Oryzias latipes: one gene and its partner. The protein of the gene in region 2 purifies or fractionates together with the protein of the main gene of each other region. This does not show direct contact. Links are inferred from orthologs where the notes say so. Each region holds a gene or a part of one and is shown on either strand. Other genes may lie near its edges. The genes, in order: ubac1 and rnf123.

Region 1 (4,356 bases), on a different chromosome or scaffold from region 2:
GAAACCAGGATTTTCCTCAGCTCGGTTTGAAACTGGAACAAAGAGCGGAAGCGTAAGGCGGCGGGCGGCTGCAGACCCGGAGGCCGTGGAGTTTGAACGCTCACATCTCTGATGTTGTGCTGCGTGACGGTGCGGTCCGTGTGCCGTGTGGGTAAGCTGGCGGTCGCTTTCAGGATGGCGTCTTTGTCTGGAGCTTTGGTGTCCTGTTTCTTCTGAGAAGAGACGAACAAAAAAAACTGCTAATAAGGAGCTTAACATGCGGAGCCTTTTCATAAAAAGAAGGCGTTTACCTTTTCATCTGAACCAACCTCTGCCGTCTTCGGAGGCGTCGGCGGCGGCCTTTTCTTTATGAGCAGCAGGACCTCTGAAACCAAACGCACAAAGCAGATAAATGATGGGAAGTCAGCAGCAACGGGAGCGAGAAGGTTGCAAACGTGACGCCGCGTACCTTTGTCCTTGAGGTTTTCGTCAGCGACGGTTTTGGCGTCCGTTAGGACTCGCTCTGTAGCAGCGTGGATGAGCTTGTGGTGGGTGAGAGTTTTGGGGTCTTCTAGACTTCCATGAACGTACTGCAAAATCAAACAACGAAAAAACAAACAGAAGAAATCAAATGTGTGTATCTGTTGAGTACATGTATATTTGTGTATTTATCATTCTAACCTAAAGGGTCAATGGCGTCTTCTTATATAGCGCTTTATCATTACAATAAGACCCAACGCTCTTTAGTCACAGAACTACTGTTTATTATGTTTATTACCTTTTCATTCAATGGACAGTAATTATTCTGTTAATATTTTGATTTACAACAGACTTTTCCTAGATTACTGTATTCCACATATTGTGTGCACATTTGTGTGCATGTATGTCCGTATAGTTTTTGCATCTTGACATCTTTAGTCTCATTGTTCATGCGGACGGTGACAATAAAGGTTTTCTGATTCAGTGGCAGCAAGTTGTGGAGGAAGTCAACTCCAAGCTGACGTTGTCTTTTCAAATTAAAAGCATTCATATCAAAACGCTGCTCAAAATGTTGTTTAAACAAAAGGAAACCCAAGCAATTTTTATAAGGTGTATTTGAATATTACCTCATTGGTTTTTTGATTATTTTTTAATGATTTTGTTTTCTCTACACCATGTTTGTCATAGAAATAATAAATAAAAACTTTATTTTTTAAGGTGCTATACTGATCTTTAAAGAAATTAAAGTGTTTTTTTTACTATATTGCTTTTTAATTTATTCTCCAATTTTCTTATTATTTATGTTTCTGTCAGGGTAACTAGGATTGAAAGTTTCCATTTTACACAAACTAAATTGACGGTTTTTGTGGAGAAAGTAAAACGTACAACGAGGATCATCTTTCAAACTACATTTAACTGCAGCGTTTTAGCAACAACAACAAAACGTTTAATAGGGAATAAAATCAAAATAAGAGAAACTAGATTTTTTGGCCAAATCAAAACTTTCTCCAATAAATTTGTCAGATGAGTCGCACAACTAATAAGTAGCACATAAAGCACAAATAAACCACTAATAAAACCACATTCTCTATTAGAAATTTTAAGACTGACCCACAGAATAAAAAAAATTCTTTAAAATCTTCTATTTTGTCCAAATAGTAAATTAAAACAAATAACAATTCGTCAGATTTAATGTTGGAGCTTGAGAATAAGTTGTTTTTCCAACACTTCTATGATTCTATATCTTTATTTAGGTTACACCTTCTCTGACGTCCGTTCATAGCCATAAATCCAGGACTTCATTTACCATCACCTGGAAAGGACAAAACAATGACTATATGTTTTATAAATTCAGGTATGAAGGAGTTAACATTCAATATTTTCTATTATAGGATTTAACTCACCGATTGATTATTCTGTCAGTGTTTCTTTCTTGTATAAATGTTTGATTGATCAGGCTTGTGGTATTTTTACTAACCAACACTGTTTTATCTTCACTAAAACCCATCTTCACGCAGTGACAAAGTTTTTCTGGATGCTGAATTCTTCCAGCAGTGAAGCTGCCGTTACCGTGGTTACCGTGATCAAAGTTACCCATTTACCAGCTGCGGATGTCGGTCGTTTTTGTCTTTTTCCTGATATTTTCTAAATGTTGTTTTGCTCTCATTCATTTGATGCAACAACGAGATTTAGTTACTAACTTTAAAAAAAAAAAAAAAAAAAAAACCTTTCTTCACCTGGAAACAACTGTTTGATTTGACATAAATATAATCGAGTAAAAGTCCAAATTCTCCAGGAATAAAAAGTATAAATAAATAAAAACCAACGTTTTGTTCACCGAGTGGAGTGAATTTGAATTAAATAAAAGTTTCTTTCACGATAATTCAGTGGGTTGGATGGGAACCCAAGAGGAGTCAGTCAGCACAGAAGTAATAGGAATCTAAAGTATTAATAAAGGAGAAATAATAGACCCCCGTTGAGTTCCTGCCAGGGCCATATAAGGAGAGGAGAGGTGAGCGGGGTAATAATAGAGCAGGACAGAAAAGGACAGTTTAGCTGCAGAAGCTGCAGAGAAGCTGCCAGCCTCTTCAATTATAAATAGCAGAGTCTACCCAGTTACTATAAATACACAGCTGGAGACGGTTTACCCCGAGGGCAAAGAGCAAACACCCCGGCAGGGCAGTGACACGACAAAACAACAAAGTAGCCCAAACAACCTCCAACAAACCTACATGTTTCAAGCACTTCTCCTTCAGTTTCTCCACCGTGGTGTCCTCCGTGACTTCCTCCAGCCACTCCGCACCGTCCATGGTGCAGATGTGGATTTTCAACACTTTCCCCGCGAATATTTTCTCCTCCTGGACGAACATGGCTGCCGCGGTCTTCGGGGCCCGGCGACGCTGGCGAACGAACGGCGGTGGCTGTCTGCTCCCCTCGGCTCGTCCCAGCGAGCTAGCCTGCTAGCCTGCTAGCGCGAGCCCCCAGCTAGCCGCCGTGGGTAAATCCACCAACAACCGAACGGCACCGATCAGCTGGCGGTCATCTTCGGACTCTCGGACCGGCGACAACCGAGGGACGAGCTCCGAGGCCGCCAAGCTGTTTGTTTTTTGCCGCTAAGCACACAGGGCAACAACCAGCGAATATCCTATTTTTACTGTAACGTTTGAACTCTGACCCGCAACTGTACGAGTGCTGGTGCATTATGGGACTTTGAGTCATTATTTAATCTGGACTTGTTTAAGACTGTTATCGAATTTATTGGAAAGAAAGGTTAAACGGGAATCAATTAACATTAATTAACAGTAGTTCAACATTTTTAACTATTTCAACAGCACCTCAGCTGTTTTCAACATTATTTAAACACTAAATCAACCGCTTTTCAAAATTTCAAATAGTCCTTTTACATCATTTCACCTGTCTTCAGCATCCTGTAACTGTTTCTGAACAGTATGTTTGCTGTTAACACAACATTTCAGCTGTTTTTACACTACTTTAGCTGATTTTCCAGCACTATTTTCATTGTTTTATTGTCAAACAGGATTTCAATTGCTTTTCCAACTGTAGTTCAACTGTTTCCCCTGTACTTTAACTGTTTTTCAGAAATTTAAACTTTTTTTAAGAGCAATTCACCTGTTTCAACAATACTCTAACTGTTTATGATCAGTCATTAAACTATTTCAGTGGTGTTTCAATACTGAGTCCTTCATTCATCTGCATCTGAATTTTACTTTATTTTTACCAGAGTGAATAAAAGGTAAATTGTGGCTTTTAAATTCATGCCACTAGATGGAGACATGGAAAAAATATCTTCACAGAGGAAGATGAGGAGAAAGAAGATAATCTGTGAGTCTGTAGGTTTTGAATGACCTTTAGTTTCTTCGGTTACCTGCAGGTCCCGCCCACAAAATGGTGATTTAAAATATCAATTTGACTTTTAAAATAATTTAAAGATACCAATAGTCATATACATTTATCAATCACTAATTTTAACAGTAAATTTGATTTTTTGCACGTGACAACCATGAAATCTTTTAATGAAAACGGATTATTTGCTTTGTTCATTTGCAAATAAAAATTAAAAAAAATAAAAAAACGACAAGAGTACACAACGTCAACTAAACACTCATTTAAGTTTCTTTTAGGACTACAAAAACCCCAAACTGATCACTTTGAGAATCGCAAGTGCCATTTATTATAACAAGACATTTTTACAGGATAAAAATCAAAGTAAAAAACATTTCAGGAAAAGTCAAATTTGACAAAGAAAACAAACATTTTGCTGTTTTTTTTTTTTAACAGCTTGGATTTTTTTTTGAGAGAATTTCACAAAGAACATCATGGAGAACTTCACCAACAGTTTTCTCAGTGATTTTATGGTGATTCACAACTTCATATGAA
Region 2 (4,407 bases):
TCATATTTTTTAAACATATTCATAAATGTAAATCCATGTTTTGCCGTTTGTAAAGCTGCAGTCAAATGTTATAAGTATTTAAAATAAATATTTAGGAGAGATCTATAAATATTTAATTATAAAAATAAAATTCACTTTAAAGTAAATATTTAGCTTGCTAACTAAATATTTAGTTAGTAAATGTAACATTTATCAATACGTGAATTAAATGGTGAAAATATGCATTTGAAAAATGAAACCCGTGTTGCTGTTTTTTCCTAAAATGCTGTTAATGTTTAACTCAGCAGCTTTACAAACAGCACCCCAAATAAATCCACCATTTGAAGAACTATTAGCAGCGTCCTCGACAGCGACAACTGTCACAATAATTCAATATTTGGAATAAAGACACCTGGTTTTGTTCAATGTTAACTTTCTTTTATTTTGAAATCAAAGACTCTTCTTCTGTTTCCTCGTTGGCTCTTTTCTGCAAAAAGAAACTTTTCGAATATATTTGTTTTTTGTTAACTTTGCTAGCTTGGGGGTTTTCACTTTAGCAGTCAGCGCAGACACTTTAAGAAAGCAGTGGATGCATTTTTAACACGTGACCGAGCGACTTGACATGCCTCGATAATGAGTTGGATGTGGTGAAGAGAATTCAGTAGATTTCCAAAATAAATCTTTGTTTAGAGACAGACCGGTAACTGGTACGCAGCCCGGGGGTTGGGGACCACTTTGACAGGGGATGCACTAAGTTTTGCTAAAAAATGAGATTCTGATATAAGGCGATACCAGTGTTTGAATTTTAAACTTTTAATTTCCTAAAAATGAAGATCTGGCAGAGACTTTCTCCTTAAGAGTAAAAGATACTCTAGAAATGCTGATGAAAAGCAGGTATGGGTACCTGAGCGTGGCTGGAGCAGCTCCAGGTTTGGCAGAAGGAAAGACGTGATGCAGATAATCGCTGAGCAGCTTCTCGTTCACGATACCTACAGGAAGGAAGGAAGACCTGAACACACAGTTGTACATCTGAGATTGTGCATGTATGAAGATGATGAGAGAGCAGGAATTTGAAAAATGATCTAATCCCTGTTGCCTTGATGCTACCACTCCCCGCCCACTTGCTGCTGGCGTACCGGTGGTTCTGGGTTTGTCCGTGTCCGAAGCCAGCCGGTAGTTCCGGCGCGTCAGAGCGGTTCCTCCCCCCCTCGTGGTCATTCTGTCAGTTGGGGTCCACTGACCTGTTCACTGGTGACAGAAAAGAACTGCTTGGACTTAAAAAATCTTTAGAAAGTAAAATACTCCTTCAAAAGGACAGGAAAGAAAGAAACTGCAAGAACAGGAACCTTTTTAAAGTTGAAAACACAGAGATACATTTGACAGCAACTGAGTTTTGATGCATTATAACATATTTAATAGTTTGAAGAGCTTTTAAAAAATCATTTTGCTGTCTTTCTTTAAGTCCTTTTGTGCATGACTTCCTCAGAGATGCTGACATCCATGTCCTGAGATGGATAAGTCCTTTATTATAACCTTATAGACCAACGCCATTCATCTTTTCATCACAGAGGTCTTTTAATTATTGTCCCCATATTGAACCAAAATTAAAAAAAACCTGTGTCAGCCAGATACCAGCTCAGACGAGGAAAATGAGGACATCTACAAGAACATGCATCAGAATGGAGCGGAGCAGGGAGCCTGTGGTCTGCCCATCATACTTCTTACGTCACAAATGTGATCTTTTTCAAAGGGCAATATTTCGTCCGCTCCTGATTCGCTCACACCGATTTGAATAAAGAAGTACTCAGAAATGCAATCTAAAACTTAATTTTCTTTACAAGTGTCCTCCATCGTGACAAAAACGCCACAAAAACAAGTTAGAAACATCAAAAACACAAATGTCATCGGAGTAGGTGTTTAACATTAACATCCACAATGTCAGAACCTTACTGTTAACATGCAGCAGTGACATGTTAACAAAATGTATTCTATTGATTTGGATTGATTTGAGTTTTGCTTTTAAAAGAATAAATCGATTTATGTAATCTATAGATGAATCCTCTTTACTTTTTTTTCTCTTTCAGTTAATCTGGTTTGTCATTTTTGGAAGAAGAACAAGCATGAAGCTTGTTTTCGTCCTGCAGCTTTGGGTGAGCATCTCTCACTGATGGAAGAGACATGGGATGTTTTAGGAGAAAAGATTGTAGAAAATGGATCTGAAAGCCTAGATTTGAATGTCAAGGCTTATGATTCATTGACGTGTGGGGAAAGTTACACCTATGACGTGTTTATCTCCCACATCTGATGGACCGTGAAGATGACAGGCAGCTAAAAACATTGGCAGATGTTCGGGTTGTTTTTTTGACATACAGGTGGTAAGCAGACTGTCAAACATGCTGCTGAGACTAAAATCAGAGTAATCGAGTAGTATATTTCTAAAATGTTGTCACGTGACGTAGCCATTGACAACAATGACCCGTCCCGGTTGCTAACACTGCAACTACTAGCCCTTGGCGGAGCACAGCCACCGGTCTTATGTCCACAGCTCACCACGGAGCTCAGATGGATGACATTCACGTCACGTCACAGCCCAGCCAAACCCGGCCCGGTCTGGTCAGGTTTAGCTGCGAACGAGCAGCCGGTTACAGCGGTGTAACTAAACAAGCAGGCTAACAGCTGCGGGTGACCGCTGCTAACTTACAGCGGCCCACAAACGGCGCGCCCCGCCGTCCGAACACAGAGCTGTGCTGCTGCCGCCGCTCACCGCCGCCCTGTCCGTGAATCAGGCAAATGAAGATGAGAGCAGCCGTGGTTCGGAGCAGAAGGTCCAATAACACTCCAAGCAGTCAACGCCTCACATCTACGGGGAGCTGCGAGGGTCAAACCCCCAACATTAAAATCTCGTCAGAGAAAACAACGCGAGAATAGAGAAAGTGTTATTAGAAACACACACAAAATTGGAAAACTGTTAAAGACGTTTCCAACCTATTTTAATCAAATTAAGTGTGTTTACGGTACACATTTGCTGACCCTTGGCTCATGAAAGTGCTAAACTACAGTTAAAAACAAATCAATAAACAAAAATACAGAAACTGTCACTAAAGTGGTCTACTTGATTAGGCAATAAAGCTGACCAGGTTATGGATTTTCAGTCAGCATTTTCTTCAAAAAGTTAAAAAAGTTGGTTTATTTTTATTTATTTTATGCCTATGGTAAATCAATTTCCCTTGTCGTAGGGTCAATAAAAGCTTCATCTATTTGTGGCCTCATGGTCTATTATTTTAGATCTTAGTGGTGCATTTAAGTCAATTGATCTTTTTATTACATAGACAAAAAACATTCATTGAAACAGAAATTATTTTTAATAAAGTATGAGCATCCAGGCATGTCTCTCAACCAAAACCTTCCTGAAAGGATCAAAGAAACTGAGAATAAAGCACAGCTTGTAAGAATAGTAATTTATTGCTAAAAATGATCTTAAAGGCTGATGTAGGCACACTCAGCTGCAGACATTCAAGTACAAGTGTTTTTGAGAACAGGCTGGTCTTAACACCAAATATCTGCAGGACAAACACAGACCCTCGTAACACCGGATCCAACATCAACTATAGTTTAATGAGCCCTCTTCTTTTTTCTCTCACAGCTCTGGTAATATATTGAAGATCTTCGATCTAAGGCTCTGTTTTCACACACTCAGTTAATGTCGGTTTTTATTTATTTGTTATTTCTACAATTCTATAAGTAGATCGACTTTGTTTTCACAGAGAACAAATCAAACAGAAGACGGGTGTTCTGGAAGTTTCAGCTGAATGAGCTCCAGTGGATTTCATCCAGAGATCAGGCTATCTGATCAGCTGAAGAAAAAGGAACATGGATGGCGCCTTCCAAGTCAGGACGGGGGGAGGATTTGAACTTGGAGTTTAACGACAAATAGGATGGAAGTTGAGCTCCAGGAGGACGGTAATGTCACAGTCAGTGCAGAGAGGGACCCACTGGGAAGGAGGAAGAGGATGGATGGATGGATTGACAGAGACCTCAGCCCATGTAGGGGTACTTCCAGTCTCTGAGGGGGACGTGCGTCTGCTTCACCACCTGAGGAGACGTCCACCTTAGGACGTAATGAGGACCTCCAGGTTTGTCGTTGGTGCCTAGAAGAAAAAATATCAATGAACCAGTTTGCTGCCATCAGCCTCAGATTGGATTAGCATTTTCAGGACAGTTCTGCACCAACCACAGTCTCCCTTTAAAGATCTGTCCAGTCAACTACATTAATCAGGAAATATTTATACACTCGTCTTTTTTTTTTCATATTCATGCTGGGACAATAACAGCTGATTTCCCAAATCACTTTCAAGCCCTTTCAAGCGGAATTCATGCTTTTTCACAATGCCACTGCAGTTTATAAAATTACATTCTTTCTAATTCTCT

Evidence for each region.
Region 1: the proteins of rnf123 (region 2) and ubac1 purify together in Homo sapiens (affinity purification with mass spectrometry; 7 studies listed by BioGRID and IntAct, counting the BioPlex papers as one, with this or other methods). This does not show direct contact. The link is inferred for Oryzias latipes from reciprocal best matches to the Homo sapiens genes RNF123 and UBAC1.

What each region holds. Positions count from the first base shown.
Region 1 is NC_019867.2:2,169,304-2,173,659, reverse strand, and holds the start of ubac1 (ubiquitin-associated domain-containing protein 1), read right to left. Parts: upstream 2,829-4,356; coding exon 2,691-2,828; intron 570-2,690; coding exon 449-569; intron 365-448; coding exon 291-364; intron 213-290; coding exon 105-212; intron 33-104; coding exon 1-32.
Region 2 is NC_019863.2:20,427,716-20,432,122, reverse strand, and holds the start of rnf123 (E3 ubiquitin-protein ligase RNF123), read right to left. Parts: upstream 2,875-4,407; 5' UTR 2,681-2,874; intron 2,604-2,680; 5' UTR 2,488-2,603; intron 1,228-2,487; 5' UTR 1,198-1,227; coding exon 1,116-1,197; intron 969-1,115; coding exon 884-968; intron 1-883. Other genes in the region: aldh4a1 (delta-1-pyrroline-5-carboxylate dehydrogenase, mitochondrial), read right to left, coding at 4,015-4,127. UniProt on the Homo sapiens protein: Catalytic subunit of the KPC complex that acts as E3 ubiquitin-protein ligase. Promotes the ubiquitination and proteasome-mediated degradation of CDKN1B which is the cyclin-dependent kinase inhibitor at the G0-G1 transition of the cell cycle.